Linked DNA regions of Diceros bicornis minor. The protein of the gene in region 3 purifies or fractionates together with the protein of the main gene of each other region. This does not show direct contact. Links are inferred from orthologs where the notes say so. Each region holds a gene or a part of one and is shown on either strand. Other genes may lie near its edges.

Region 1 (7,518 bases), on a different chromosome or scaffold from region 3:
CGGCTGAATAGTATTCCACTGTGTGGGTGTCCACATTTGTTTATCCATGCATTCGCTGATGGACCTCTGGCTTGTCTGCGCCCACTTTTTGGCTATCGTGAATAACGCTGCTCTGAACATCTGTATTCAAGTGTTTATGAGAAGAACAGTTGCAATTTTAACGCTGTACCTGTCTCCCTCATGGGGCTGGGAGCTTCACGGGGGCACAGACAAGTCTGTCCTATTAATCGCTGTGTCCCCAGAACCCACGATAAGGCTTGAAACATACCAGCCACTCAACATACACTTGATGAGAAAAGGATGGACAAGAGACATCCCAATACTCTAGCCTCAAATCATTTGGCTAGATGACCTCCACTGTCCCCACGTCGGGGTCTCCACTCTGTCCTCTGGCTTCCCTCTGTGTTCTCTTTCCTCCTCCACCCCCATCATCTGATCCCTTTGCAAATCCTTCAAAATTGATCCCAAACCCCACCACGGCTCACCACTCCCTTCTCACTCCAGTCAGGCCAACACCATCTCTCACCTGGACGCCTGCAGTGGCTCCCTGATGGCTTCCCCGCTTCCGCTCCTACCTCATGCATCTGTTCTCTTCACAGCAGCCAGAGGAATTATTTTAAAACATCAATCAGCTCATGTCCCTCCTGTGCTCAAAAGCTTCCGGCCGATCTGGTTTCACTCAGAGAAAGGCCAAAATGCTCCCTGTGGCCCACAAAGCTCTGTCCCCTCCCTGCCCTCATCGCCTACCCTCTCTCCCTTGACTCCAGCCACACGGCCCCCTTGCTCTTATGTGAACACCCAGCGTGCTGCGACCTCAGGACCTTTGAACGCACTGTTCCCCTGCCTGGATCCCTCTTTCCCCCCAAATCTGCAGGGCTCGCCCCCTCACTTCACTCAAAAGTCTCTACTCAAGTGTCACCTCCCTGGCGAGGCCTTCACTGACCACTCTCTCAATCCTGGTCCCTCTCCTCTGCTTTCCTTCCTTATTTTTCTTCACAGCACCAGCCACTGTCTGACATTGTACCAGTTATTACCTACACTGTGTCATTGATTGCCTCTGGTCTTCTGTATTTTCTAGCTCCCTGATGGCATGGGTGCTCCCAAGGGCAGAGATTCTCGTCCACTGTTGGAGCCCCAGTCCCTGGAATAGTGTCTGGCACACATGGTGATCACAAAGTTCTTGTTGAATGAATGAGTGAATGAACCTTCAGAGACCAGATGGTGTTATGAATGGAGTCTGCAGACCAGGAAACTGAGCCTCAGAGAGGTTAAGTGACGTGCCAAGGGTCACATCCCTGGTAGATATCAGAGGCAATACACACGTGCTCCTAACAGCTGGCCCCCTACCGAGTCCACAGCCCCTCGGAGTTCCAACTCTTTTCATAACAATCATAACATCTCTCCTCCCCTACACCCAACAGTTTCCACCTCTCCTGTTCCTGGAGCATCTACTACATGCTAGATCCTTCTATACCTACTAAATCCTAAAATAATCATTGAGCACCTAACAGAAGCCGCTCCTCGGAGCCAGCTGAATAACAAGAACCATAGCCAAGATCATCTAGTGCCTGGAACGTGCGAAAGGCCTTGGTCACACACATTATCACAACAACCTCATCAGGAAGGTGTGATCAGCGGTCCCTCCTGACAGAGGAGGAAACCGAGAGGTGAAGGCCCTCATTCAAGGTCACGCGGCTAGGCAGTGACAGCGCTCCAACTCAAACCCAGGTCTGAGTGACCCCAAAGCCAGTGCGGATACGGCCTCTGAAGCTCTTGGCAGCTTCAAACACCAACACCCGCTCCCAGGAGTTGGGAGCTGACTTGGCGCCAGGCCTCCCATCATCACGATGATCCTTCCTGCTGGTGATCACTGTCCCCACACTCATGTGGCCAGATGGCAGAGGGCTCCAGATTCAGCATTGTCCTGCTCCCCGACCCCTGACCTTTCTCTGGGACCAGGCTTCCCCCACCCCCCAGCTTTCCAGATCCCTTCCCCACAAATTCCTAAGGCCCCCTTGGCCCCTTCTTTGAGCTCTGGGCTCTCCCCCTTCTGGCACACCCCTCAAGCCCCCACTTTATAATGTCCCCACCTTTCCAGGCCCCCAGCTGTCTCACGTTCTCCCAAGACTCTCCATCTGCAGCGCCTCGCTCTGTGCTCCCTGAGACCCTCTCTTCCCCTCAGTAAGCTCGCTAGCCCCCTCTCCACTGCCCTCCATGTCTCCTAAGCAATCGTCCATCCTGGAGCCCCTCTACTCCTCGCCACGGTCCCCCACCTTCCCATCTCTCCTCCCCAAGGCCCTGGGACTTTCTATCACTCCCAGGCCCTCTCTATGCACTAGCCAGTGACCTATCTAGCCCCTTCCCCTCTATGACAGCCCCTCACCCAGGCCCTCAAGCCCGGCCCCATTAGTCCTCCGGGTCCCTTGTGGCCTCCTCCCACTCTATCGCTCCACAGGGTACCCCGCACCCAGGATCTCCTGCGCTTTCTATCTGTATCAGGGATTCCTCGAACCCCATCGCTCAGACGACCCCCCAGCCTTTCTATCATTCCCAGGGGGACACCTCTACGCCCCCATCCCCGGGACCTTAGTAGCCTCCTCTCCTTTAAGACCCTCCCGGACGCCTCCAGCCACTCCGTGTCGTCACCCCCAGAGGCACTCTGTGACACCCCAAGCCCTTTCAGTTCCCCACCCGAAAGTTGCCCCGGGGGCCTCTCTATCCGCTCCCTCTATGATCGCAATGGCCTTCTACCCCCCGGGCCCTTCTGTACCCCCGGAACCCCTCAATTGCGCGCGCCCCCCCTCCAGCGTCCCCCGGCCGCGCTCTCACAGTTCCGGATGTCGGAGATGAAGACCGCGAGCCCCCGCATCCCATCGCCCTTGGACACGGCCGGCATGATGGCGGTGGTGTCGGCTCCAGGCCTGGCCGGGCAGGGCACAGCGCAGCGGGGGCTGGCAGGCGGGGACCGGGAGGAAAGGACCCCAGGCAGCGCCGAGGAGCCGAGCCGGCCGCGGGGGGAGGGCTGGCTGGCGGGCGGGCGGGCTGGCAGGCCGCAGCTCCGCCCCCGGCCCCTCCCCTCCCCTCCGCGGTCCTGAGCTCTCAGCGCCTACTGGCTCGGAATACTGCCGCTTATCCCCGCTCCCTCTCTCATTGGCCGCTGGACAAAGGCACGCCGCTACGATTGGCCCAGCGCCCCGCTATTTCCGTTCGGGCGGGGGGAGGGGGCGTTGCCGGAGAGACAGGCGGAGTTCGGTTACGTACTGTGGGACCGCCCCCTCGGCGCGGCCGGGTCCGATACTGATTGGATCCGACCTCTCTACTAGAAGGGAGGGATTGACGTGAAGGAAGGCGAGGGAGCGGGCTCGAGGAGGCGGGACTTGCGTTGATTGGGGCCAGTGGGCGTGTAGATCGCCCCCGTAGGCGTCGCGGATTCGCCAGGCCTGTCCTACTCCCGCCCTCGATTGGGCGGTTTTGGGGGCGGGAGGAGGGCGATGATCGGTAGAGAAGGAAAGAGAAGGGAGGTTGTCACTCAGCTGGGCTGGGATAGGTGGAGCGACGCCTGCAATTCCCTGCTGCAGAGAAGGGGTTGGGAGGGGCCAGAGAGCATGAAGCGTTTACTGCGCCAGCGTCCCTCTGTTCCTCTTTCTCCCTCCTCTCCTCCACCCCGACTCCTTAAATCTTCTTCCAAGAAGACTTCCTTTTCCCCTACCCCTCCCTTGCTTAGCAGCCAAGATGTCAAGACCTAACTTGTCAGGAGACCAAGAATCCGAGAGTGGAGGAAAGAGTAATTCAAGTCTAGTCCCATTAAGCAGAGGATAAAACTGAGGTCGAGAGAGGCCGAGTGACTTGCCCAAGGTCACAGAGCTCGGAAGTGGCAGAGCCGCAATTTAAACTATACTTCGGCTTTTAACCACTCGTCAATATACAATGCCTTTTTTTTTTTTTTTGCAACCATATCGCCATTATACAGATATTAAATCAAAATTGCGAGTCCCTCCTCCAGCAGACTTGGAGATCCTCCTGAGCAAGAATGGGACCCGGGGAAGAATGCTAGTTAAAAGGAAGGAATAGGTGAATCCGTTTTGTTTGGCCCAACAACCACCCCTTGGCGCCCCAAAGACCCCATGTGCAAAGCTGACTGGCTTTTGGGAAAGCAAAGCCTCCGGAAAACAATGCCCGGGGGTATTGAGAAATTTGGGGCAAAGGGAACTGGAAGAGTCCATTTCTGTCACCCCCGGGAACTAAACCCCACCCACCCTTTTCTAATCTCAGAAGCCTATTATTTTTGGAATGAGCCTTGGGGGAGTGTCCTGGATCCTGGCAACGTCCACTCTGAATCGTAGGGGGATGGGGATGAGGGCGAGAAGAGCCCACCTTCCAGGTTCAATGGATCTGTCCATTTGCTTTTCCAGGAATGGGGCTTGGGAAAGTCCATTCTGGATTCCGGGAGGACAGACATCGCTCAGCTGTTTTAGTGACCAGGAGAGTCCATTCCTAATATGGGTTTGGGGGGGGGTGCTGTCTGCCACTGAAAAACATAGAACGGCCCCATTAAAAACAACCACAAGAAAAATTATTAGGACCGGGAGTTAGAAAAAGTGGTTTTTATGGAAGAGACAGTAAGCTTTCCAAGGACTGGAGGAGTCCATTCAGGACATAAGAAGCACTTTCTCCCTGAGGATAACGCCGTTAAAATATATATATGAGTAGTGGGGTGCGGACTAACACCCAGAGTCCCAAGAACAGGCAAAGTCTGTCTCAAGGGAAGGGGGAAAGCCACCCTCTTCCCCGCCTCAACTCTCCACCTCTCTCCCACCCACCACCTTCAACCCTTCGCCCAGAGCCCACCTGGGGCCAGATGGAGTTAGCTCTGCGTTTTTGTTGTGGGGATAAGGACGTCCTGGTTCTAAATCCTGTCATGGGCGGGTGAGGGGACTCAGTCCTCTCCCAACTCCGTCTAGAGCCCATGAATTAGCCGAAGCTTAATTTTCAAGCTTGGGCCTAAAGCAAAGGCATTCAGGGGTCTAATGAGTCAAGGAAGGCCGACTTCACCTTCTGGAAAACCCTGCGACTGCGATCCTGCGTGGGAGTGGATGCGGCGCCCCCCCCCCCCCCCCCCCCGCAGGAGCTTGCTGGCTGGCTCCTGTTGAATTAGAGCAGTGCCTACCAATAGAAATACAGTGGGAGCCACATTTATAATTTTCCATTTACTCCAGCTACGTTAAAAGAAAAAGTACAAAGAAAAAGTGAAATTAATTTTAGTAATATATTTTATCTAACCCAATAACCCCAAATATTATCATTTCAACATATTTGACATTCTTATTTTCCTAAGTCTTTGAAATTGGTGTTTTATACCTATGGCACATCTCAGTTGAGACTTGCCACATTGCAAGCACTCAGTAGCCACAGGCCATTGATAGTAGCTGTGATATTGGACGGCAGAGAGTTACAGGACTGGATTTGAGCAAGAACATTCTGGGACGCAGGGGCTGACCTACTGCTAAGTTTTAAGACCAGGCCATGAACAAGTCCATGTTTGGGGGTCAAAATGAAGTTTGGGCAAGTCTTTTTTGGTTTTAAGGTGGAGCATTAAGGGTCCGGCTCGGCTCGGCCCGGCCCGGTGGCTTAGCGGTTAAGTGCGCGCGCTCTGCTGCCAGTGGCCTGGGTTCGGATCCCGGGCGCGCACTGATGCACCGCTTCTCCGGCCGTGCTGAGGCCGCGTCCCACATACAGCAACTAGAAGGATGTGCAGCTATGACAGACAACTATCTACTGGGACTTTGGGGGAAAAAATAAATAAATAAAATCTTTAAAAAAAAAAAAAAGGGTCCGGCTCTTTGGCCTAGTGGTTAAGTTGGGTGTGTTCCGCCTTGGCAGCCTGGCTTTGGTTCCCGGGTGCAGACCTACATCACTCGTCGGTGGCTATGTTGTGGCAGCGACCCACATACAAAATAGAGGAAGATTGGCATAGATGTTAGCTCAGGGTGAATCTTCCTCTAGCAAAAAAAAAAAAAAAAAGGAGCATTAAGAAGGAGCCCCAGAACAACTGAACAACAAAAAAACAAAGAACCCGATCAAAAAAATGGGCAGAGGGGGCTGGCCCGGTGGTGCAAGCGGTTAAGCGGGCGCACTCCACTGTGGCGGCCCAGGGTTCGCCAGTGCGGATCACGGGTGCGACCCGATGCACCACTTGGCAAGCCATGCTGTGGCGGCATCCCATATAAAGTAGAGGAAGATGGGCATGGATGTTAGCCCAGGGCCAGTCTTCCTCAGCAAAAAAGAGGAGGATTGGCATCAGATGTTAGCTCAGGGCTGGTCTTCCTCAAAAAAAAAAAAAATGGGCAGAGGAAATGAACAGACACTTCTCCAAAGAAGATATACAGATGGCCAGTAGGCACGTGAAAAGATGTTCAACATCACTAATCATCAGGGAAATGCAAATCCAAACCACACTAAGAAATCATCTTACACCTGTTAGAATGGCTATAATCACCAAGACAAAAAACAACAAACGCTGGAGAGGCTGTGGAGAAACGGGAATCCTAGTTCATTGCTGGTGGAAATGCAAACTGGCACAGCCTCTATGGAAAACAGTGTGGAGATTTCACAAAAAATTAAAAATAGAAATACCTTATGACCCAGCCAGCCTGCTACTGGGTGTCTACCCAATGAATCTGAAATCAACAACCCAAAGAGGCTTATGCACCCCTATGTTCATCGCAGCATTCTTCACCATAGCCAAGACATTGAAGCAACCCAAGTGTCCCTCGACTGATGACTGGATGAAGAAGATGTGGTATATATACACAAAGGAATACTACTCAGCCATAAAAAAAGACAAAATTGTCCCATTCACAACAACATGGATGGACCTTAAGGGTATGATGTTAAGCGAAATAAGCCAGAAAGAGAAAGACAGACACCACATGAGTTCACTTATAAGTGGAAGATAAACCAACACACAGACAGAGAGAACTGTTTGGTGGTTACCAGGGGCAAGGGGGGTGGGGGGCGGGCACAAGGCGTGAAGGGATGCATTTATATGGTGACTGACAAACAATAATGTACAACAAAAATTTCACAATAAAGAAAAAAAATTTCGATGTCTCTGTTAGCTAATTACTGAAAAATTTGGCTAATAGGATTTGAGGAAAAAATAGCTATATTATATATTTTTAAAAATTTTAGCAATCATCTTACCCTCCAATAAAAACACTCCATCTTCTGTGAAAAAAACAAAAAAACGAGAGAACCCCAGAAGCCCCTTGAGGAGCTCATGGGTTGAACCACCAATAACTTCTAAGACTTTGACCTGAGCAAATCATTTCTTGATTTTTCTCCAGAAGAACTGGACTCATCCCCAGTCTTCCCATTTTGGCAAATGGGCCCTCCATCAATCACCCAGGCACTCTTGCCAGACTCTTCCCTGTCCCTTACCCCAAACCAAGGCCAGAACACATCCGGAAGCAGCCCCCTCCCTCCATCACCACTGCGTCGCCCATGCAGGCCACCATC
Region 2 (7,413 bases), on a different chromosome or scaffold from region 3:
CCTGAGGAATGAGGTATGGGTGGTGGCTCTCCTGGGAGCAGCTGGCCACAGCGGGGGCCCAGCCAGGCAACCTGACCCAGGGCAGAGAGGGCGATTGCTCCCTCGTCTCACCTGCCTAGGCAGTCAAGGAAAGCTTCTTGGAAGAGGCAACATAAGCCGTGATTTAGTTGCTGAAATCAGCCTGTCCTGACCTAGCAGCCAGGCCAAGGCCAGAGCCCTTGAAGGCTCAGGGTGTTTAATCTCTGCTCTGCCTCCCTGAGCTGTGTGACTTCAGACACGGGCCGCCCCTCTCTGAGCCTGAGTTTCTCTCTCTGCAAAATGGGACTCATGCATTCCCTCACACCCCCAACAACTCCCACGGGGACCTGGCCCCATGTCTCACAGGGACCACCCACCCTACTCGCCCGGTTTCCCTCCCACCTCTCAGGCCACCACTTACCTCCCTGCCCTCTGCCCAGCTCTGGGCTTGGCTTGCTCTTCTCTGGGTTCCAATGTCAGCTCTGTAGTGTTCAGGCTGTGTGACCCCGGGCAAGCGTTAAGCCTCTCTGGGCTTCTGTTTCCACATCTGTAAAATGGGATCGTAACAGCACCTAAGTCGGGGTGGTTGTAACAATGACACAATGACTACATAGAAGCAGCGAGCATGGGGCCCAGCAGCCGGTATGTGCTCACCGGTGGTAGCTGTGGATGGTCTTCTTGGCCCCCCTAAGTGCTCCTCTCAGCGCTGTCTCAGCAAATGGCCCTCGGTTCCCCCCACCCCACTCTGATCACTCATCAAGTCCAGTCGATCCCCCCTCCAACCTCTTCCAGATCAGTGCCCTCCTCTCTGCCCGCTGCCACCTCATTCCAGCCCCCATCCTCACGTGCCTGGATGGCTCGGTAGCCCCTTCACGGGTCTCCTGCTTCCATCCTCGCCCCTTCCCCGTCCACGTGCCTCAGGGCAAGATCCTAACTCCTCCGCAGGCCCCTGCCCTGGCCCCACTGAACTCCATTCCCCACCGGGAGACTCCGTTAAAACTACATCCAACACACGCCTCCTCCACTGGGAACTCTCCCACAGCTCCCTACTTCCCAGTATCAGATGCAGTCCTCCTGGCGGAGGCCTCCCAGCGCCCTTCCCCACCTGCTTCCCCCTGCTCACTGGGCTCCAGGGCCCCTGGCCTCCCTGCTGTTCCTCAAACACATCGAGCACACTCGCACCTCAGGGCCTCTGCCTTGGCTGTTCCCTCTGCCTGAAACGCCCTTCCCATACCTTCACATGGCCAACTCCTCATCTTTCAATTTCAGCTTGACTATCACCTCCTCAGGCCAGTTCCCTGACCACCCTGTATACAGGGACCCCCCTCCAGGTCACTCTCCTGCACCCCAATCTGAAATTACCTGGGTCATTTTTGCCTGCTCCAGGAGGGCAGGGGATTCCAGCGCCCGGCATGTAGTTGGTGCTCAAACACCTATGGAATGAATCAAACAGTTACCTTCCTAAAGCTTTCACCAGCCCCTGAGGGGGGTCTGTGCTCCATCCCGCATTCACAGCATGGAAGCTGGCACACAGAGAGGGCAAGGAACTTGCCCTGAGGCACAGGCTGTGCCCGGAGTCGCATGCTCTAGGCAGCCAGCCCAAAGGGGCTGCTCTTGAGGTCTCTTCACCCCATTAAGGCCAAGAAAAGAGCGATGCCCCTCACGCCCAGCAGCCCCCCTCCCCCTACTGCCCAAACCAGGCCAGCCCGCCCAAGGTCACAGGCGCATAGGACCCGTCCTGCCCCTGGCCCCAACCCAGCACGGAAGGGGGCAGGAAGCAGCAGGCGCCCTCCGGGAGGGCCTGGGCCCTGCTTATCTCCCCACACTCATGCTGTTTTCCAAGAAGTTCAGAGTCCGCTGATTTAACCGGCCGCGGCCAGGCAGGAAGCTGGAGGGGGCCGGCCCCTCTAGGTCCCAGGGCCAAGTTCCCGCCTCCACCAGTCCAGGCTGGAGGGCCTTGAGAAAGTCACTTCACCTTTCCGAGCCTCAGTTTCCTCGTCTGTCAAGTGGGCTGTGGAGAGGATGCAATGAGCTAAAACGAGGACAACCCACTGGCAAGCCATGAGAAAGGCACCAGAACACCCGGCTGTGAGTCGGGGTTCTCACAGCCCTGTCTGTCAAATGAGAACGTTAATATCCACCACTCCGGGAAGGGTGGGATAAATTAATCCTGAAGAGCCATTTTGCAAAATGCTTAGCAGGAGGGAGCACACTGAAGGAAGCTGTCCAAAGGGCAAATAAGTAGCTCGAGGTCTCACAGCTGACCCAGAAACCAGGACTTGAGGAAACTGAGGCACGGCACCGTGGCACTCACTTCCAAGAAAGAAGCCAGATCCGCAGGTCCTGGCGGTGGAATCCCGGCCACCAGTGTCCCCGAGCAGTGGGCCTGGGGGAGAGGGTGGGTGTGGCAGGCACAGGCAGAATAACACGTGCCCAGAGCGCCTGTCCCGGGCCGGGGCCCCGGGGACCAGGAGCCCCGCAGGCTGGAGGCAGCTCCGCTGCCCACCGCAGAGGCTGGTCCTCCAGTCTGGCCCTGCTCCCGGCTGCCCCGTTCCTTTGTGTGGGGTGTTTCTCAGAGGACAGCCAGAGCCCCGGACGGGGGTCAGCGGCAGCAGGTGGGAGCAAATGGGGGCCTGTCCGCAGAGTCCCTAGCGACCCTATGGTCCCCTATGGGGTCGGGTCATCGGCCAAGTCCGCGGGGCAGAGGGGTCCCGAATGGGGAAATTACACCGGCGAGGAGGCGCAGAAGGGCCGATCCCCGTCTCTCCGGACGGCCGGGGACCCCGAAGCCCACCCACGGCGGCGCGACCCGGCCCCGCGGCCCCCGCGGCCCCCCGCAGGTCCCCCCGGCCGGCCTTACCTCGCGGCGCGGCCTAGGGCGGCGGCGGCGGGACGGGAGGCGCGGGGCCGGGGGGCGGCCCGGCCATCGCCCGGGACCCGCTCGGTGGCGGCGATCGCGGCGCGGCTTTGTCTCCCGGGTGGCCGGGCCGGCGCAGCCGCGGGAGAGCGCGGGTCGGACGGAAGGAGGCGGGGGCGGCCGGACACTCCTCGAGCCCCGGGCGCGCCCCTTTAACCCTTCCCGGCCCGCCCGCGCCGGGCCCGCCCCCGCGCTCCTCCCGCCCCCGGATTGGCCAGTGCCGGCCTGGCCCGCCCCCGGATTCGCCACGCCCCCGTGGGCCCGCCCCCGGAACCACTCTTAAAGAGACCGCGACTGGTTCAGGAATCGCCAGTGCCCTATTTCAGGAAAGGATTCCGTCCCCGAGACTCGACGCGCTTGCAGGCGTCAGGACGGGCGGCGGATTCGCCCGGAAAAAGTCCTGGGCAGGGCCTCTCGCCGAAGCCCTGGGGCCTGGAGTCCGAGCTCCGCCCTGCTGGGGTTGGCGGATTTAGCAAATTTAATGCCCAGCTAAATTTGAAAAATAACTGCTGAAAGTTTGTGGTTTATTGAAAAAAGCTGAATACACGACATTTCGGGCGTTCTGAGAAAGTCAACAGACGACTGTACTATATGTACCGGACGCCTGGCGACCCTGCCCCTTGTCCCAGGTGAGGAGGGAAAGTTCTGGATTTGGCAGGCTTGGGGTCAAGTCCCGCTAAGCCGTTTAGTCACTTCACTTCTCTCGGCCTCGGTTTCCTCGTCTGGAAAATAAAGACAGTCATCGTGTATCAAGTTCATGGCACACAGGAGGGGCTCTCAACAAACAGGGATTGCTGTATCTTTTTGTTCTACCCAAAACAACACAGCTCCACCTCCCTGGTCCTGTCTCTGCTTCCTGCCCTTGCGCCTCCCCAGCACCCTCCTCTGATGGCAGGGGAGAACAGGACAGACCAGGATCATCTATTCATCCTATGGCTGCTCGCTGAGCACCTACTGTGTGCCAGCACTGTTCCAGGCAGCGTTCCTGAATCAGTCAACAAACAAACAAGATGAGTTCTACAAGTGATTCCTGTTAGGAAGACTCAGCCATGGCAGTGGGTGGATTTTAGACACGGTGGTCAGGGAAAGCCTCTCTGAGGAGCAGAGACCTGAAGGAAGTCAGGGAGGGAGCCATGTGGCTGTCTGGGGGAAGCGTGTCCCAGGCAGAGGGACCAGCAAGTGCAAAGGCCCTGAGATGGGACCATCCCAAGCATGTTGGAAGAGTAGAGAGGAGGCCAGTGGGGCTGGGGCTGAGAGAGCAAGTGGGAGAATAGTAGGAAATGAACTCAGAGAGTTCAACCTGGCAAAGCCAGGTTGCTTAGGGCCTTGTGGATCATGGGAAAGATTTTGCTTTTACTCTGAGAAGAATAGGGAGCCACGGGAGGGTTTTGAGCAGAGGAGGGACATGATCTGTCTTAGGTTTAACATGGTCCCTGGCTGCTATGGGGAGGGTGGACTGTAGGGAGCAAGGAGAGAGGCCAGGAGACCAGGAAGGAAATTATTGCAGTGGTCCACGCAGGTGATGATGGTGGTTTAGAGCAAAGCAGAGGCAGTGGAGGTGGAGAGAAGCAGTTGAATTCTAGAGCCTGCCTGATAGTGAAGCCAGCGTAGAGGAAAGTAGGGCCAAGACCCAAGACGTGGAGAGAGACAGATACCTGATGATATCTGATATCTGCTGCACTCCTGGATCCAGTTGTACCTGATGCTGCCATAATTCCTCAGCCAGGAAAGGCAAGCTGGAATTTCCCCCAAATCGAGATGCTTCCCAGATGAGGAAAATGCCAGGCACAAGGGCATTTGGGCCGTGGTGTGGGGAAGATTTCCCAGAGGTCTGTGAGGCTTGGCTCTCAGAGCCCCTCCTGCTGGAGTCAAGGTTTGACATGGGTGGAAGAGGCAGAAATCAGAGCGAGGGCCTGGCATCTTTTTTTTCTTTTATTCCTTATTATTTATTTTTTTAATTGAGGTGAAATTCACATTAAAAAATTAACCACTTTAAAGTGAACAGAATGTATAACGTGGTGACTAGGCTGATGACAGTACAGTTCATCCACGTTACAGCACGTGTCGTGCCTCACTCCTTATGGCTGAGTCCTATTCCACTGTGTGAAGGGACCACGTTCGTTCAGCCTTTCATCCGTCGACGGACATCAGGTCATTTCCACCTCGGGCCACTGTGACTAGCCGAGCCTCTCTGTGGCTGGGAACTGGAGTGGGCTGGAGAAGGGCCGGGGGTTCAGAAGGACTGGATGGAAAGAGGGATTTGGGAACCAGGACTGGCTCGTGGCCACCATTAGCAACCCTGAGGATGTTACACCAAACCGGGTCTCGAGTCCGTCGCTTCTCTAGCTCTGCCACGGCTTCCCCGCTCCAGGCCGCCGTCGTCTCTCGCCAGGCCAGCCGCGGCGGCCTTCCCTCAGGTCTCCCTTCTGCCGCTCTGCCCCTGTACCCCCTGAATCCCTTCTCCACTGAGGGGTCCTAGGAGAACTGGAGTCAAATCAAGTCCTGGCACTCTCCTGCTCAAAGCCGTTCCGTGGCTCCCCGTTGCCTCAGGAGCAAGTCCAGATTCCTCCCCACGAGGGAGAAGGCCCTGCTTGTTCTGGCCTCTGCCCACCCCTCCAGCCTCCTCAAGCACGGTTTCCCAGCCCCACTCCCTCAGCTTCCCCACCTGGCCTGCCTCTCTTCCCAGAATGCACCGTGCTCCTGGCCTTTGCACATGCTGATCCCCTTCCAGGACTCATCCTTCAAGCCCTCGCTCAGCCACTGTCGCTTCCAGGAAAGCATATGACCCCCAGCCCCACCCCACTGAATTGAAAGCCTTTGTCTCCTCCAGTGAGTCATTCTCTCAACCAACATGGATCAAGCACTACTGCATCCCAGGCACCAGGCATACAGGTTAAAGACAGACAAGTACACGCATGTTCACAGCAGCACTGTTCACAACAGCCAAAAAGTGGAAACAACCCAGGTGTTCATCAACAGACGAATGGATAAACAGAATGTGGTCTATCCACACAAGGGAATACTACTCAGTCATGAAAAGGAATGGGGTATTGAGGCACGCTACAACGTGGATGGACCTCAGAAACATCATGCTGAGTGAGAGAAGCCAGACATAAAAGGGCCAGATGTTGTCGGATTCCATGTATATGAATTATCCAGAATAGATAAGTCCATAGAGATAGAAAGCATTTTGGTGGTTGCCAGGGACTAGGGGAAGGGGAGAATGGGAAGTGACTGCTTAATGGGCATGGGGTTTAAAAAAATGGGTACCGGGTTTTACTTTGGGGTGATGAAAATGATGGCTAGAGGCGGTGGATGCACAACTGTGTGAATGGACTAAATGCCACGGAATGGTACAGTTTAAAGTGGTCAATTTTGGGGGCCGGCCCGGTGGCACAAGCAGTTAAGTGCACGCTCTCCGCTGCGGCCGCCCAGGGTTCGCCGGTTCGGATCCTGGGCTCGTACCAACACACCGCTTGTCAAGCCATGCTGTGGTGGCGTCCCATATAAAGTGGAGGAAGATGGGCACGGATGTTAGCTCAGGGCCAGTCTTCCTCACAAAAAAAAAAAGAAAGAAAGAAAGTAAAGTGGTCAGTTTTGTGTCACGTGAATTTCACCTCAATAAATTGTTAAAAAAAAAAAAAAAGGACCAACACGTGCTCCTGCCCTCCCTTCCCAGGCAGAAAAAGGTGAAGCAACATCTACAGTACATGAGACGAAGTTAGGAGTCAAGTAGGAAAATAAAGCAGGGGAGAGCATGTGAGTTGTGAATGAGGATGGTGGACTTGCCATTTTAGCGAGGAGGGACCGGGGAAGACCTCCCAGAGAAGGTGCATTTGAGTAAAGACCTGAAGGGAATGAGGGCACAAGCTGTGCAGATATCCAGAGGGAAAAGCATTCCTGGCAGAGGGAACAGCAAATGATACGTTTCTTCAGAGGCAAGAAACGTATCAAGGAGGCCAGTGTGGCTGAAATAGAGGGAGTGAGGGGAGGGATGAGATCAAGGAGGCCTGTGGGCTTTTCTCAGAAGGCTGGGAGGTGAGGAGGAACTTGCCAAGGAGGTGAGAGGGCACAGGAGGTAGGAGAAAAACCAGGAGAAGCCAATAGCAGGTGGCGTTCCTGGGTTTGATGACTGCCTAACCCTCCCGTCTGTTAGCAGGTGGGTCCACGAGGGCAGGGAGCCTTGTCTGCTTTGTTTCTGCTGCGTCTCCAGTGCCAGGCACAATGCCCGGCACATAGTAGGGCAGCGCTCCCAGGAGGGTGCCCGCAGGACCCGCCATCTTGCATCCGGATCTCGGGCTCCAGTCCCGTCCTCTGATCCCCCCCTTCGCTCGGCCCCCAGCAGGGACAGATGGTCGTCCACGCTGGGGTCTGAGGTTGCGTTTCCTTCCATGGTGGCCGCCCCACCCCAGACCCAGCCAGCCCCAAGAGGGAACTGAAACTCGCCTCCACCACAACACTGGCCCAGGCCACACGCA
Region 3 (7,376 bases):
CTATATGGTAAAAATTTACTATAGAATTGACAAAACTTGGGTTATTGGATATCATAGGTAAAGGAGAAGCAGAGTTCAGGATAAACCTCAAGTTTCAAACTTGGGTGACTAGTTAAATAGTGGTATCACTAAGAACAACAGGTAAATCAGAAAGCAGTTGTGAATAAAATAATTTTTAGCCAATTTACAAAAGTGACTTAACATGTACAGAAGCACATAAGTAAGCATAGTCCCTGAAGTGATCCCAAAAAAGCAGATACAATAATTTGCCACAGAATCAGGCCCAGGGAAATGATTAAATTAGCCAAGCTTGCCTTCCTCCCCTCTGCTGGCCCTAGGCTGAGGGGATACATATCTTTACCCAACTTAGACTCCAGGGTCAGCTATTTCAATGCATCCTAAACACCACTTTAGACTCCCTCGCCCCATGACATTCTTCTCTGCCTGCTGTACTAATTCCCAAGCCTAATGCACTTTTTTGGTAGATTTTCTCTACTCCTGCTTTCCATCTGCCAAGCATTGCCAGAGAAAGTTACAGACCCATGCTGATTTGGACCACTATAGAAATGCACACCATCTGCCTCCAGGTGGGCTTTCTCTGTTGCTCTAAAACCCTTTATTAACTTTTCTGGATTCACTGTCAGTCTCCAACAGTGCCTGTTCTCTCCTTCTCTGCCTTATTCAAGTTCCCAAACCCTCTACTGTTAACTTCAATTTCATCAGATTAAATGTGATAATTCAGGTAGAGCAGTTACCATAGTGCCTGGCACATAGAAGGTTCTAAATAAACACTTACTCTTACTACTGTTAATATTGAATGAACAGCGTAATGTGTTAGTTAAAATCCTCGGGCTTTGGAGTCAGACAAACATAAGTTTGAATCCTGATTCTGCCATTTACTAGCTAATGGGCAAAAGTTGCTAAACCTCTCTGAGTCTCAGTTTTCTCATCTTTAAAGTGTAAACAATAATATTACTACTTTACAGGGATTTCGTCAGGATTAAATGAAAGTATGTATGTAAAGCCATGAGGAGAGTGTCACATGAATATTCAGTTAGCCACCAGGATTATTATTATTGTTATTACATACACTTATTAATTTTTTTTGAGAAAATCATCAACTACCCTGTGAGAGTTTCTCCACAGTTTTTAGTGTCCTCACCTCAATACATTTCCATGTCTTCACAACCTCTTATGCTTTACAACAAATATTTGAGTACCCCACTATATGCCAGGCACTGTTTCAGGTGCTGGGGATACTGTAGACTTGGACGAAGAACTACCTCTCCTCTTCTCTAAGGTTGATTCCTCCATCTGCACCTTGGATCCTTGTCCTTCCCAATTACTGAGGGATTTTTCTTGCAACCTTTCTGCTTCCCTCTTCTAGTACCTTAAATGTCCCCCTCTTTGCTAGCTCCTTCCCGTTGCTTTAGAGTAACTTCAAGTTTTGTCAAGAATTTCTCTTTAACCCTTCTAACTAATTTAGTTAAAATTGTATTTCACTCCTTTTTGCTTCCAAACTTCTTCAATACGTGGTCTCTTGTCTCCATTTCCTCAGGATACAGTCCCTTCTCAATTCCCTGTCATCTTGTTTCTACCCTCACCAGTTATTGAAACCACTTATTTAGCAGTCTCCAGTGAACTCCTTGACACATCCAAAGAAAGTCTCTCAATCCTCATTTTCCTTGTCCTGTTTTCAGCATTTGACACAGCTAACCCTCCTCTACGTATTATTTCTTTGTTTTTCACTTTCATTGATTACAAACAATTTAAAATGCAGGAAAGTACATGGAATAACATAACCCATATATGTACCTACCACCCAGTTCTATCAAATCTTGCAACATCAATTTTCAGATTGTTTTTAAAGAAATAAATATTACAGATACAGTTGATATTCCCTGTATTCCTCTCTCCAGTCTCAATCCTCTCCTTGAATTTGGTGATGATCATGCCCTTTCATGATTTATATACTATTACTGTTATGTATATCTATGTAGCCATAAGCAACAGATAATATTTTCAGACTTTATATAAACGGCATACCGTACATGTTTTGCAATTTTCTCTTTATGCTTAACATTATATTTTTGAGATTTAACTCTGTTAATACATATAGCTTGTGTTATTCATTTTAATTTTAAAATAGTATTCAACTTCATGAATACCATGATTTATTCAACCATTCACCTGCTGATGGACATTTAATTTGCTTCCATTTTTTTGAGATTACAAATAATGCTGCAATGAACATTCTTTTACATGACTCCTTGTGCACAACAGTTAGAATTTTGCCCAGTCTGTAGTTAGAAATGGAATTTCTGAAGGGTATTACCTATAGAACTTTATTATACAATGTCAAATTGCTCTTCATAGTAGTTCTACCAACTTACACTCCTTCTAGCGGTGATCAGAGGTCTATCTGTTCTACATCCTCAACAACACCTGGTGTTGTCTGAATTTTCAAATTTTTAACCAAACCGATGGTTGCAAAATGGTATCTCATGGTTTTAATTTTCAATTTCCCTGAATAGTAATGAAGTGAAGCATCCTTTCATGTCTTTACTGGCCATTTAGGTTTCCTTGACTATGAATTACTTACTCATATATTTTGTCAATTTTTCTACTAGGTTTCTTTCTCATTGATTTATAGGGGTTTTTGCACGTTCTGGATACTAATTCATTCATTTAATCAATATTTTTATAGCATCTACTTTGTTTCAGGAACAGTTCTAGGCACTGGGAATGCAGCAATGAACAAAACAGACAAAAATCCCTGCCCTCATGGAACTTACATTCTAGTGGGGAAAAGTAAACAATAAACAAAATTGATAAATAAAATAGAACAATGATAGAGATATATCCTCTGGAGAAAAATAAACAGGGAAGAGGGATAGGGAGCATGTGTGCATGGGAGTGGGAAAGGAGATTGTCAAACTTCAATTTTAAATAAATTTGTCTAGGAAGGCCTGACTGAGAAAGTGACATTTGAGCGAAGATCTGAAGGAGGTGAGAGTGCAGACAGAATGAACAGCATGTTCAAAGTCCCTGAGGCAAGAATGTGTTCGGCAAGTCCTAGGAATAGCAAAGAGCAGTGTGACTACGCAGCATGAGTTGGAGAGAGTGGTGGGAGAGGATGTCAGAAAAGTGATGATGGCAAGAAGTGTAGAACCTCAGGCTATGTTTGTCAGTTATATGCATTGAGAATATCTTCTACTAGTCTATGGTTTGTATTTTAACTTGTTTATGTTGTCTTGAATTTTAATATAGTTAAATGTATCAATCGATTCCTTTATTTTTGTGCTGTCTATTCATTTTCATTCCCTATTCCAAGTTCATAAAGATATTCTATTTACTTCTAAATGTTGTCAAGTTTTGCTTGTTACATTTGGATCTTGAATCCACCTGGAATTGAATTTTTCCTCTATGGTGTGAGGTAGGGATCTAATTTTATAATTTTCCATATGGATTATCAAGAGTCCCAGCACCATTTAGTGGATAATCCACTCTTTCCCCACTGATCTGAAATGTTGCATATGCTGCATATCAACTTTCCATATATGTGTGGGTCTGTTTTGCGGCTCTGTATTCTATTCCATTGGTCTGCCTAGCTCCATACCACACTGTCTTAATTACTATAGGTTTAAAATCAGTCTTGATAGCTAATCCATTGTAGATTCTTGAGCAAATGAAAAACACAATTGAAATGTTACTCTGGGAAGACTATTCTTATGACTTATGTCATAAATCATGTGCTTAAGTTCCACTGCCAAACTTATGTACATATTCTTATGTAAAATGGTCAAAGGGGATATCACAAAGGCTAACAAAATGATGGCGGTGTCAATGGAGAGAAAACAAGGAACCAAAAATTAATTCCAAAGAAAATATTAACAAGGTTTTTTGACTGATTGGATACAGAGAAATTAGGAGAGAGGAAGAAAGGTGACCTAGAGGGGGCGCAAAAGAAGGGTAAAGGTCTGAGATTTGAGGACTTTTCTGATTTAGCGGGTGAAAGGAAGAGGAAGGGGAGAACATCTGAGAGGTAGGATAACCAGCACGGTGCATTATAACCATAATAAGGATTTTTTGAATGGATGATGTGGGTCTTATTGGCCCAACACCTTTGAGTTCCCTCATAGGTATGACTGTGTTTTGTTTCTGTGGCAATCTTCAAAGTCCCCAGAAGAATTTTGGTGTCACAGGCAGCATTTGAAACATATTCCTTGCTGGACATGGTTGAGACGCCCCCGTTCCGTCGGGTCTCTCGCTGCAGTTCCGCAAGTTGGCCGCAGGGGGCGGAATCCGCGGCGGCCTGGAAAACTGGCGGGGGCGCGAGGCGCCGCTCTCTCTCGGGTCAGGCTCTCGGCTCCCGGCTCCCGGCTCCCGGCGCGGAGCCGTTCCTCACACGACGCGCAGCCGAGGCGGGTGGCTGTGAGGACGGGGGACGCAGAGTCGTCGGATCCGGCCGCAGTCCGCAGTCCGGCTGAGCCCGGAGGCCGCCCGGATGGAGCCGCCGCTCCCGGTCGGAGCCCAGCCCCTTGCCGTATCCGCCCGAGAGAAGGGGGAGGGGAGGCCGCGCAGGGTGGGGGGTGGGGGTCGGAGAGATTGCGGAACGCGGCGCAGGGATCGGGGGCGGTCAGGCCCAGAGGCCGAGCCGAGCGGGGGAGGGAGGCGGGCGTGGGAGGCAGTGCCTCGGGACCGGGACCGGGGCGGGCAGCGGGGCGAAAGCCTCCCTGCACACCACACCGCGCCACCCCTCCCTGGCTGAGCTTCTAGAAGAGACCCTTGACTAGCGTCCGCATACTGTCGAGGGTATGGAGATGAAGGGTCCTCTCCGGGAGCCCTGCGCTCTCACCCTAGCCCAGAGGAACGGGCAATATGAGTAAGTAACCACCTGATTCCCACAGAGGAGGGGAGCCTGCCATTACCTCGCAACCGCAAACCGCGACAAGCCACCCACCCTCCTCCCACTGAGGCCGCGCGGGCAACAGGTTCAGGCCAAGGTGTGAAGTGCAAGTGGTTTAACCACGGGTCTTTGTCCCCAACTTCCACGCTGCTAGATTTCTCCTGGCAGTGTTGCTCAGTGGAAAGACTCAATGGACGGGGAAGCAGGAAGCCTGGGTTCTTTGTTCCTGCCCCTGCAACTGACACATGTTGTGTAACCTTGGGCAAGTCAATAAAGCTTTCTGGGCCTTAGTGTCCTCATCAGTTAAATGAAAACATTAACTAACTGCCTTACCTTATAGCCTTTGGAGTTTTAACTGGGAGAATAATAAATGTGAAAGTGGTTTACAAAAAGTAAAAGTGCTATGGAAACGCTTCATTAACCTTATGTTAGTGCCTTTTCTTAACCCCATTCAACTGGTTCCTCCACTCTCCCAACCCCTTTATTCCACTTGCTTGAAGGCATATTCATTAATTCAGTAATGGTTTAGTGTAGGCTAGTAACTGCTCACTTATTGACTTGACTGTTAGAAAAAGTAATGAAATATGTAGAAATATAAACGACATTTGCCATTTTATCAGTGTGTGTTAACTTCCACTCTGCCTTGCATGCACATAGGAGCTCAGTAAATACTGTTGGCTGATGGATCAAAAGATTATTTTGATAAGCTATCACTATAGTTACTGATCTCACTCCCTTGCAACTAATGCCTCATCTTAAAAGTATCCATGGTGACCACTATATATCATAGGCCCCTATCCTTGTGTGCCCAAGCCACCTCCTTTGGTTGTTCACTGGTTTCTTGACATCAGAGTTTAAAAATTGTTGATCACTTAAATCCTGTCATCTTCCAACATTGGATTCTGCCTAAAAACAATTTTTCTCGGTTCCCGCTTTTAGTTTGTCCAGACTGAGTCTGTGTCTATGCTGTCTAATTTACACAGAAGAAATTCCCACTGGCCTATCCTGCCCTTTTCTAAGACTCTTGGTGCCTCTAACTGGATGTCAACTGATTCTGTGAAGTCGCTCTTCCCTAGGTCCTGCTTGGTCAGTTCTGTTGATGTGGGAAACTCATATTATGTTTCCCAGATTTCATCAAACCTTGAAAGACCCATTTAATATAAGTGAATTTAACAGAAAAGTGAATTGAAAAGCGGAACACCGCTGCGGCTTCCAAAGGCTAGAATGGGATAGAGAGATGGGACCCTTGGGCAAATCAGTAAACTTTTGTGCCTCAGTTTCCTCTTCTGTTAAAATCAAAATTATGAGGATTAAATAAAATAGCTACATTGTTGATATGACCATAGCTTGGGATCTGGTCCCTTGGCTCAGTATATTTGGAACTCTGTTTAGCTAATAAGGGAGTGAGCAATTGGCCTTGAGATAAATACCTCATTCTATCTGGACTCTTGTACTAGAACTTTTAAAGGGTGGTAGCTCTCCTGACTATTTGTGTCCTCCTCACAGAGAAATCAAATTCTTTTGTTCCAACTCTTTGTAAGTTATGGGAGTACAGCAACATCTAACACTTAATGGCTTGATGTGTGCCAGGTATTCTTCTCACCACTTTTCATGAGTTAGTTCATTTAACCCTCATGTGAGGGTTATTGTGAAATAGTAATATCATCGTCAACTTCCTTTTCTAGATATAGACATTGAGGCACAGAGAGGTTGTCACTTGTTCACAGTTAGGAAGTAGCGTAGCTGAGATTTGAACCCATGTAACGTATCTCAGGATTACATTGTCTGAGAAGTTTCTTTTGAAATCATCGGAGTCACCTAATACTGTCGTACCATCTATAATCCTGAAATTCTTGTCTCTTGGGTGCCTTCTCTGACTTGAGTGTCCAGAACATTTTTACTTTGGGCCTTTTTTTTTTTGTGAGGAAGATCAGCCCTGAGCTAACATCCGTCCCAATCCTCCACTGTATATGGGACGCCACCACAGCATGGCCTGACAAGTGGTGCATAGGTGTGCTCCTGGGATCCGAACCCGGGCTGCCAGCAGTGGAATGCGTGCACTTAACTGCTAAGCCACGGGTCGGGCCCTACTTTTGGCTTTTTTATCCTAGAACTTGAAGCCTATTTTAATCTTTACTTCTGTGGTTCCTGCTATCAACCATAGGAGAAATTTACTTGAGAGACCACCGTTACATTTAAAAATTGGTTTTTTGGAAACAGGGAATCAAACACTAACATTCATTTTTTTCAAGGAAAATGGATTATGATGCAACCTATTGTTTCATCTTTAACCTTCCTTGAACAAATCAAAGTATTTCCTAAGGATAATGCTGAGTCTGCATTCACAATTTGTCACTCGTTTCTGTTTGACAGCTACCAAATTCTGATTTCCATTGTTTTGCCATATACCTATTATTTTTCATCTTTCTGTTCTGAAAGGGATGATTACATTTAGGTAGAATTTGCA
Region 4 (7,909 bases), on a different chromosome or scaffold from region 3:
AATATGCACTGAGTGCCTATTATGTACAAAACATCATGCTAAGTACTTTGAGCTCATGATCTAGTTTAACCCACACAACAAACCCATGAGATAGGCACTATTATCATCCCCATTTTGCAGTTCAGGAAACTGAGGATGAGAAGTTAAGTAATGTACTAAGATCACATGGTTTGTAAGTAACAGAATTCAGATCTGTCAACAGGAAAGTCTGTGCCCCTAAGGAAGAAGGGAGAAAAAAGGAAAGGGTCTGTATTTGTGTTTTGCTGAACCATTATAGCTGTATCTAAGAAACTTCAAGTTTTTAGAAGACGAATTTTAAAAACTATCATTTCACTGTGAAAAAATGTTTGGACTAGAGAGTTTCTGAGTCATGACCATTAAGTTATTAATTTCCGCAGTTAAAACAAAAGTGCTTTAACTTCATAAGTGTAGAGTTATAACACCTAACCGTTACTGAACAAACCCAGGGCAAGAGTTAATGGACATTCTTTTCCTTGTGCCACCAGCTGTGTCACTAGCACAGGCTTCCTGGGAATCCTTATCACTCCATTTCCCTTGGCCTGATGAAAAGAGGGCAAACCCTAAACAGAGCAGTTCTGTTGCCCTGGCTGCAGCTCTTTCTTCTTTTGAAAGTGCAATCTTGGTCTGCCAATGCAAAAATTTCTGAGCAAATCAATTGTGGTCTCACCAACAGGAGTAATGGAAACTCAGGCCGTAGAGGAAGTAACTGAACGTGGCGTGTGCTGGGCTCAGTGCCGGGGTTCTGGGTTCTGAAGGAGCCTGTGTTAGGCACCACCTCTGAGGAAGCCTATCAGAGGAAGGAGGTAGATGGGAGGGCAATGGATGGGAGGGAAGAAAGAGGTGTGAATGGGTGATCAAATGGAAGCAGAAGACAGACTCCCAACTTTGCCCGGGACCCTTCATGATTATCTGAGTGAAGTCAACTTTCTAGACTGGGAGAAGCCACTCTTCCTCTGGGCGGGTGGACTTCGTGAGATGAGATGAAAGGATGTCACACTTCTGCTGTTCTTTCAGTGTGGGTGGGTGGCTCGCAGCACAGTTCAGGACAGGAGTCCTTGTCCTGTTTTAGCAATGACTGTCTTGACCTTCACAAAACTCCCTTCAAACTTCTCACCTAAAATATTTTTAGTTTGAAAATGAAATGTTTTGGAGAATTGTGATAAGACAAGTGGGCTCTTGTCCCTGCTCTGGCTTAATTCGTGGCCATGGGTAAGTCATTTAACTCCCTTGGTCTCATTTCTGCCCCTATAAATGAGAGGACTGGCATTTTATAATCCCATGCACTTGGTAGTTACTTCCAAGACAAACAAACACCAACCAACAAATATAAAGTACATATGAGATGTGCACGTCAATGTGGTCACGCTACAGAGATCTTAAACATAATTAAAATCTTCACTTATTGAATTTTGTTGTTGTTGTTGTTGAGGAAGATTGGCCCTGAGCTAAAATATGTTGCCAATCTTCCACTTTTTGCTTGAGGAAGATTGTCCCTGAGCTAACATCTGTGCCAATCTTCCTCTATTTTGTATGTGGGACGCCGCCACAGCATGGCTTGATGAGCAGTGTGTAGGTCCGCACCTGGAATCTGAACTCAAGAACCCTGGGCTGCCGAAGCAGAGTGTGCAAACTTTACCACTACGCCACTGGGCTGGCCCCATATTGCCTTTTTTAATAATGAATTGGGCACTACATCTCCAGTAAATACTGCTAAATTTAGCAATTTTATTTTCAATTTTCCAGTCAAAATCAACATTATTTCATAAAATGTTATCATAAGGGAATAACATTTCCAAAGAATATTTTTTAAAAAACAGGATATTATTGAGTAATAAAACTTGTAGCATTTCACATTAACTTAGATAATGATAGACAGTGGTTTTCAGATGTGTTCCACAGAATCCTATGAGTTGCTTAAAAGTAGACTCAGGCAAATGCCATATTGCTTAGTTTGTGATTTGCAACTCCTCTTGTTCATTCATTTATTCATTCATTTCACAAAGGATTAGTGGTGGCTTACCCTGAGCTAGGTGTGGTGCCAGGAGCAGGTGCGAGACAGGGGTTCAGAGCCTCCTCTCCTTAACTTACTTACAGTCTGATGGGGCAGGCAGGCAGACAGTTGCTCCAATGAATAACAAACTGAGAGAAGTTTCCAAAGGCAAGGAAACCAGTACTCTGAGACCTTATATCAATAAACTTGACTTAGACTGGGAGCAGGGAAGATTTCCCTGAGGAATTGTAACTTCTGTGACAGTTCACGGGAGCTCTGAAGGATGAGAGGGAGATTAGCTGGTGTGTGGGTGTGGTGGGGGGTGAGTGGATGGTTGGTGGGTGTTGGGTATTTCAGACAAAGTAACAACATAAGCAACGTAATTTGTGAGTCCCAGTGCAAAACGAAAATGGGAGGCCCCTGGTTCAAAACCATTAAGAATTTAATGACGGTGAGAGCAGAGCATTAAAGCAAGCGCGGGGTCCACTTAAGAACGAGGCTTTGCGTGACTGCACAGGTGACGCACCCCACAAGCCAGTCTTGGTCCTCTGCATGGAAGGGAGTGTGATGTTCAGGAGACAGGAGGCAGTGAAAGGCCAGTGTGGCGGAAGCAGAGCTGAGAGGAGGGCATGAGATGGAGCTGGGGATTAGGCTCACCTGAGGATTGTCAGTGACTACTCTCTGGGCTCTATAAACAATGCCACGGGGTTTTTACTCCTTCAATACTATAGGTAATGATTTCACTTCTATTTAACTATTTATATTGATTTGCAGTGGTCATCCTGAGTTTGGTGTCTCCACGGTTGCTTCTAAAAATGGAACCCGGGCTACAGAAATTGTTCAAGTAGGAAAAGCTTGGGCCGGGTCTTCTTGCTCTCTTGGGGCCAGGGGCAAAGGGTGATTGGCTGCCCAGCACTTGTCAACTGAGCGTGCAGAAAGGCACAGGTCACAGGAGTGACTCTGACTTTGTACCTTCCTATCAATCATGCATTGTTGACCTGCTGCAGGGAGCTGTGTCCAGCTTTCCAACTTAAAAGAATATGGAAAACCCACTACTTATAGTATTACTTGAGTTCACATCCTGGCTTTTCCACATACTAGTGTGTGTCAAGATATTTGTTTGTTAAAATGTAAACTCATTTTTTAAAATAGTTAAAGTAATACATATTCAAAAATCCTGACAATAGCATCTGGTGACTCTTTTCAGGAATTTTCCAGGCATATTTTTATATTTTTTACACAAACGTATTGTACTAGACATAACGTTCTTCTTATCTTTGTTAACACTTTTAAGAATATTACCAGTTTTTAAAGGGCTTCCTAGTATTTCATTTGTACGGATGTACCATGTTTATTGAAACAGTCCTATTAATAAACATAGTGGTTGCTTTCTGTTTGGGGTATTACAGAACAATGCTTTACTGAACATCTTTGCTCTCTTATGCAAGTCTGACAGCAGAATAAATTCCTAGAAGAGCTGCTAGGTCCAAGGTTATGGTCATCTTCAATGTTGTATTGAAGTATTACCGAATCAGCCAAGTTATTTAAGTGAGCCTTGATTTCTTCACATCTGTAAATAGTGGACAATAATGACTTTCTCAAACGTTTTTTAAAAGGATTAAATGAGATGAAGGCATGGAAAAGCCTCATATATAGCAAGTAGGCTGTCAATGAACATTAGTCTCCAACTCTCCTTTTACTCAGAAAGACAGCTATTTATAAATGTTATGATGACTATAGCTTTAGCTATGAGCTCAGCAAACACAAAAATTCACAGAAAATTCTGAGGCACCATATCCATTTTAAACCCCATTGTTGAATGTAACTAGTGAAGTCTCTGGAGGTCAAATGGAGTATTTTCGAGCGGACACAAATTTGACATTAACTCTAAATACAGTTACCACTTTCCTAGTCTAATAAAGTTGACTTGATTTGCAAGATATCTATCCCTGGTAATAAAAACAATGTACTAGGCTAACACGACATATCTCTCTGCTCGCCTCGGTAGCACATATACTAAGATATATCTTCCAGCCATGTTTTTTGTACTTGAGTGAAAATCTTGCTGCTCCATTTAAGTCATTCAGTTACTAATAAAACGCATATATCCAACTTTGAAGACATTTTGACCAAAAAAGGAAAATGGTAGACCTCTCATTTCCACTTCTGGAAACCCGTTGTGTCTCCTCCAAACCTCTGGGGCCCTGGGGCTTTGAGATTTATCAGGCGTCCAGAAGGGAGGTTAAGCGGACATCTCAGACTGAAATCCCCAGGCGTCGGGGCCCAGACGTTCCAGCCGGGATGCCAGGCCGCGGTCACTCCAGGCTGGAGGCAGAACCTCCTGGAAGGGGCAGTCGGACTGGAAAGTCAGTGCTCCGCTCCGTCCCGGCTGTTCATCTAGCGCTCCCGACCCGGGACAAAGATCCCCGTCGGGGACCCGCTGCCGGCCGGGGGACGTGCGCTGGTTAGGCTCGCACCCTCGTGCGTCACGCACGCCAGCTTCCCGCCGAGCGCGGCCGTGGGGGCGAGTCCCCGGCAGGGCGCTCCCCGCAGCGTGTCCCCACGCCCCCGGGCGGGCCCCGCGGCAGCCGTGCCCCGGGCGCCGACCCCGGCCCGGCCGCCCCTCGGGGAGGCGCTGGGACAAAGGGCGGCGGCGCGGCGCGGGGCGGAGGCGCGGGGCGGGGGCGGAAAGCGGGCGAGGAGGCCGGGCCGGCCGAGGGCACCGGGCGCGCTTCCGCCGGCCGCGCCGCGCACGCCGCGGTCCATGGGCGGCTCGGCCGGCAGGGGCGGGGGCCGCGCAGCCGGGGAGGTTCAGGAACTGGAGGAGCGGGCGGCGGCTCGAGTCGCCGAGCGCCGAGACTCGGGGCCGAGGCGGAGCCGCCGCCGCCGCGCCGGGGCCCAGCCGTAGCCGCCGCCGCCCTCGCGCCCGCCCGCCCGCCGCGGGCCGCAGCCGCGGCGCGGGAGACGAGCCGGCCGTCCGGGCCGGGGAGCCGCCCGCCATGGCCACCAAGGTGAGGGGCGCGCGGCGCAGGCCCGCTCGGGCCGGCGCGCGGCGGGGAGGCTGAGGGGCCGCTGGCGGCGCACGCAGCGCCCGGCGGCTCGGGCCCCGCGCGGCTCGGGCGTTGGGGGGCCGCGCGCGGGGGCGCGGGGCGGGAGCCGGGCGCGCGCGGCGCCGTCTGCAAAGTTTGCGGCGGCGCGTGGGCTGCGGCCCGGCGGGAGGGAGCCGCGCTGACCCCGGAGTATCCGGGTCCATCCCGAGCGGCGTCCGCTCCCCGCCGCCCCGCACGTCCGGCCGCCGCGGACGGGAGCGTCCCCTCCCTCCCCCGGAGGGTGGGACCCCAGCCCCCCGGGCCGGTTTGGGGGCGCGACCCCCGCCCGCGAAGACTGGGCATTTTCCGTGCAGGCCCCGGAGCACGGACGCCGGTTGAACGCCCCGCGCTTCCACTTCCTTCATTTTTCTGGTTTTATTTCCTTTTGTTTTGCTCCCTTTTCAGTTTGACTGGTATTTCCAGCATGAATAAACCACAGAGGGGGAAATGACTGCGCTTTCAGTAACGTGTTTGCCCCCCAAAAAAGGCGCAGGCCCGAATTACGTGGTGGAACTTTGACTCGCGCTTGTAATTGGCCAGGAGTGGTGGTTTGCTTTTTTCGGGGGATTGTGCGTGCAGTTAGCGGTCGCTTTTGCTACCTGAGTCTGCAGGAGCCACGCGCCCCCTCGCCCTTTCCTCGAGCGTTTTCTTTAGTTTTTGATGTAAAACAGTCACTGTTAGGGAAAGCCACAGTCACTGAGTGAGGACTAGAAGTGGGAGACCCTCCAGGGAGCTGGGGATGTGGTTTGAGGCATGGAGTGACTTCTGCAAATAGTTTTTGTAATGTCACCTTGTAAACATCACCTTCTTCCATACTCATTTTTGAAATCTCTAAGCTTTTGGGTTAGTGAAAATCGTAAATTTTTTTGAATGTTGGGTTTGTGTTTTTAGTAGAGATAACTTAGGAAAGTGATAAATTTGAAATCCCTTTGAAAGATTAGATCATCTGATACCATTTCAGTCTATTAAATTTTGTACTCTGGATCTGTCTAGGTGTGCAGTGTTGATTTGGAAAAAATGGGAGATTCTTCTCCAGGGAACCTGTTGCTTTCTGTTACTGAAATAATCACCTTGTTAGTGTGTTATTGGCTATGCTCTTCCTTGGTTTTATTAGATGTGGTAGAATTTGCTGCCTTTTTAACATATATAATTTTGTGTTGATGTTTTGAAAAACAAAACTTCAGCCAAGGATTTCTAAGGAAATTTGATTTTGAGGTTTGTTGCCCAACATGCCAGAAATGACCAATTACACGTGCTGTTTTACACTCATTTTGCAACCATAAAAGCTGTTTGTGGTAGATATCTATTCTGTGGTGGTCATTGTTGTGGTATTTTGCACTCTGATCTACTCATGCATGTTACATGTACTGTCCCGTAAGTGGGACCCAGCTTAGCAAGTACTGCGGATGTACACAATGCACATTTTATTTGATAATTAAACCTGAACTTCATTTTTCCTTAAAATTGAAAAGGATAGTGGCTCTTGCACTGAACTTGAATTGCACGTGTCCTCACTAAACACAAGCTTTAAAAGCGTGTGTCAGCACTTCCTCCGTTGTTATCTACACTACTCTGAAGGCAAGTCCGGGAATTGTGACTTAGTTTCTTTCCCTTTTCTAATCACTATTCCACATGGTACTCATTTTCATGTTTACATTATAACAAACCACTTCCAGTCTTAAAAAAAAAAAAGGGCAGAGCAAAGAAGCATTTTAAGGACCCTTCCTCAGTTTTCTGGTTTTCCTAGTTCCTGGTGAGTCTTGTGTCAAACCAAAAGTTTCAGTTTAATTGTTCCCAGAGAGTCAAGTTGTCCCCACCCCCACCTTACCCCCTGCCCTTACTGACATCTGAGTAGTTTGGGTATTTTTCTTTCCTTTCTTTAATTAGGTAGATGGGGGGAATGTACTTTTAGTAAGTAATAAAGTCTAACTTTTTATAAAATTGAAGACTTATATGGCAGTCAGGCTCTTGCCTCAAGTGATGAGAAATAAATACAATATCTGGTTATTTTAGGTGGTGTTGGGTTTCCCTTTGAATTTACTAGAGAATGCTTCAGTTCTCTTGAGATGTAATTTTCTTATTTATTGTCCTTACTTATTTTCCTGAAGATGCAGTTATCTTTGAACTATCATGATTTTTTAAAAACTCCACTGGTACATTCACAACAGAAAGAAAGGATCTTTTAGAAGAAAAACTTTAATTGGCAATTCTTCACTGCCAAAGAAGGTTAATCAGTAACTGCACATTTTAAAGGGATTATCTGTTCTTTGTTTCTAATCGTTACTCAGGAGAGTGCTGAATTCAGTTGTGAGTGTCTCGTCACTCTGAGTCCAGTCTTATCTCGTTTATCAAATACAGCAAAAGGCTCATGGGAGTGTGTCAAGTCTTGACTTCTACTAGAATCCTCAAGGTTATTTCAACACAGTCGTATGGTGAATTTAGGAGTAAATTGTTTTATTAAGTCTTGGGAAAGAAATTCTTTTTTTTGCCCATATATATCAAAAGGTACATGAAGAAAATAGTCAGTGGGAGTTAATCTATAGCTATATAATTTGGCTGTCATTTCCATGTCATACTTGACCTTTGGTAACTAATTTGGATCCTTTTGTGCTTACATAGTCACTTTTAGGTGTAATCATTATAACAGGATTCTAGGAGTCACTGTTGCTTTTTTTTTTTTTTTTTAACTTTTGGTTCCAGCTCCAACATCTGAAGTTGTATGTTTGTGTTACAGTGCTTGTCTGGTTGAATTAAGTGGGTGTGGAATGTTGAAAATACTGGTAGGAAAATACTGTTGCATGATATACAT

What was found.
Region 1: the proteins of OCRL (region 3) and AP2A1 purify together in Homo sapiens (affinity purification with mass spectrometry; 3 studies listed by BioGRID and IntAct, counting the BioPlex papers as one, with this or other methods). This does not show direct contact. The link is inferred for Diceros bicornis minor from reciprocal best matches to the Homo sapiens genes OCRL and AP2A1.
Region 2: the proteins of OCRL (region 3) and PHETA1 purify together in Homo sapiens (co-immunoprecipitation; 5 studies listed by BioGRID and IntAct, counting the BioPlex papers as one, with this or other methods). This does not show direct contact. The link is inferred for Diceros bicornis minor from reciprocal best matches to the Homo sapiens genes OCRL and PHETA1.
Region 4: the proteins of OCRL (region 3) and SNX9 purify together in Homo sapiens (co-immunoprecipitation; 3 studies listed by BioGRID and IntAct, with this or other methods). This does not show direct contact. The link is inferred for Diceros bicornis minor from reciprocal best matches to the Homo sapiens genes OCRL and SNX9.

The regions. Positions count from the first base shown.
Region 1 is NC_080773.1:25,130,123-25,137,640, reverse strand, and holds the start of AP2A1 (AP-2 complex subunit alpha-1), read right to left. Parts: upstream 3,011-7,518; 5' UTR 2,897-3,010; coding exon 2,830-2,896; intron 1-2,829.
Region 2 is NC_080774.1:9,662,190-9,669,602, forward strand, and holds the start of PHETA1 (sesquipedalian-1), read right to left. Parts: upstream 3,005-7,413; 5' UTR 2,879-3,004; intron 2,405-2,878; 5' UTR 2,333-2,404; intron 2,325-2,332; exon of another isoform or gene 1,994-2,324; intron 1,452-1,993; 5' UTR 1,381-1,451; intron 566-1,380; 5' UTR 440-565; intron 1-439. UniProt on the Homo sapiens protein: Plays a role in endocytic trafficking. Required for receptor recycling from endosomes, both to the trans-Golgi network and the plasma membrane.
Region 3 is NC_080781.1:118,337,327-118,344,702, forward strand, and holds the start of OCRL (inositol polyphosphate 5-phosphatase OCRL), read left to right. Parts: upstream 1-4,369; 5' UTR 4,370-4,507; coding exon 4,508-4,546; intron 4,547-4,805; coding exon 4,806-4,885; intron 4,886-7,376. UniProt on the Homo sapiens protein: Catalyzes the hydrolysis of the 5-position phosphate of phosphatidylinositol 4,5-bisphosphate (PtdIns(4,5)P2) and phosphatidylinositol-3,4,5-bisphosphate (PtdIns(3,4,5)P3), with the greatest catalytic activity towards PtdIns(4,5)P2.
Region 4 is NC_080778.1:11,700,929-11,708,837, reverse strand, and holds the start of SNX9 (sorting nexin-9), read left to right. Parts: upstream 1-4,893; 5' UTR 4,894-5,010; coding exon 5,011-5,022; intron 5,023-7,909. UniProt on the Homo sapiens protein: Involved in endocytosis and intracellular vesicle trafficking, both during interphase and at the end of mitosis. Required for efficient progress through mitosis and cytokinesis. Required for normal formation of the cleavage furrow at the end of mitosis.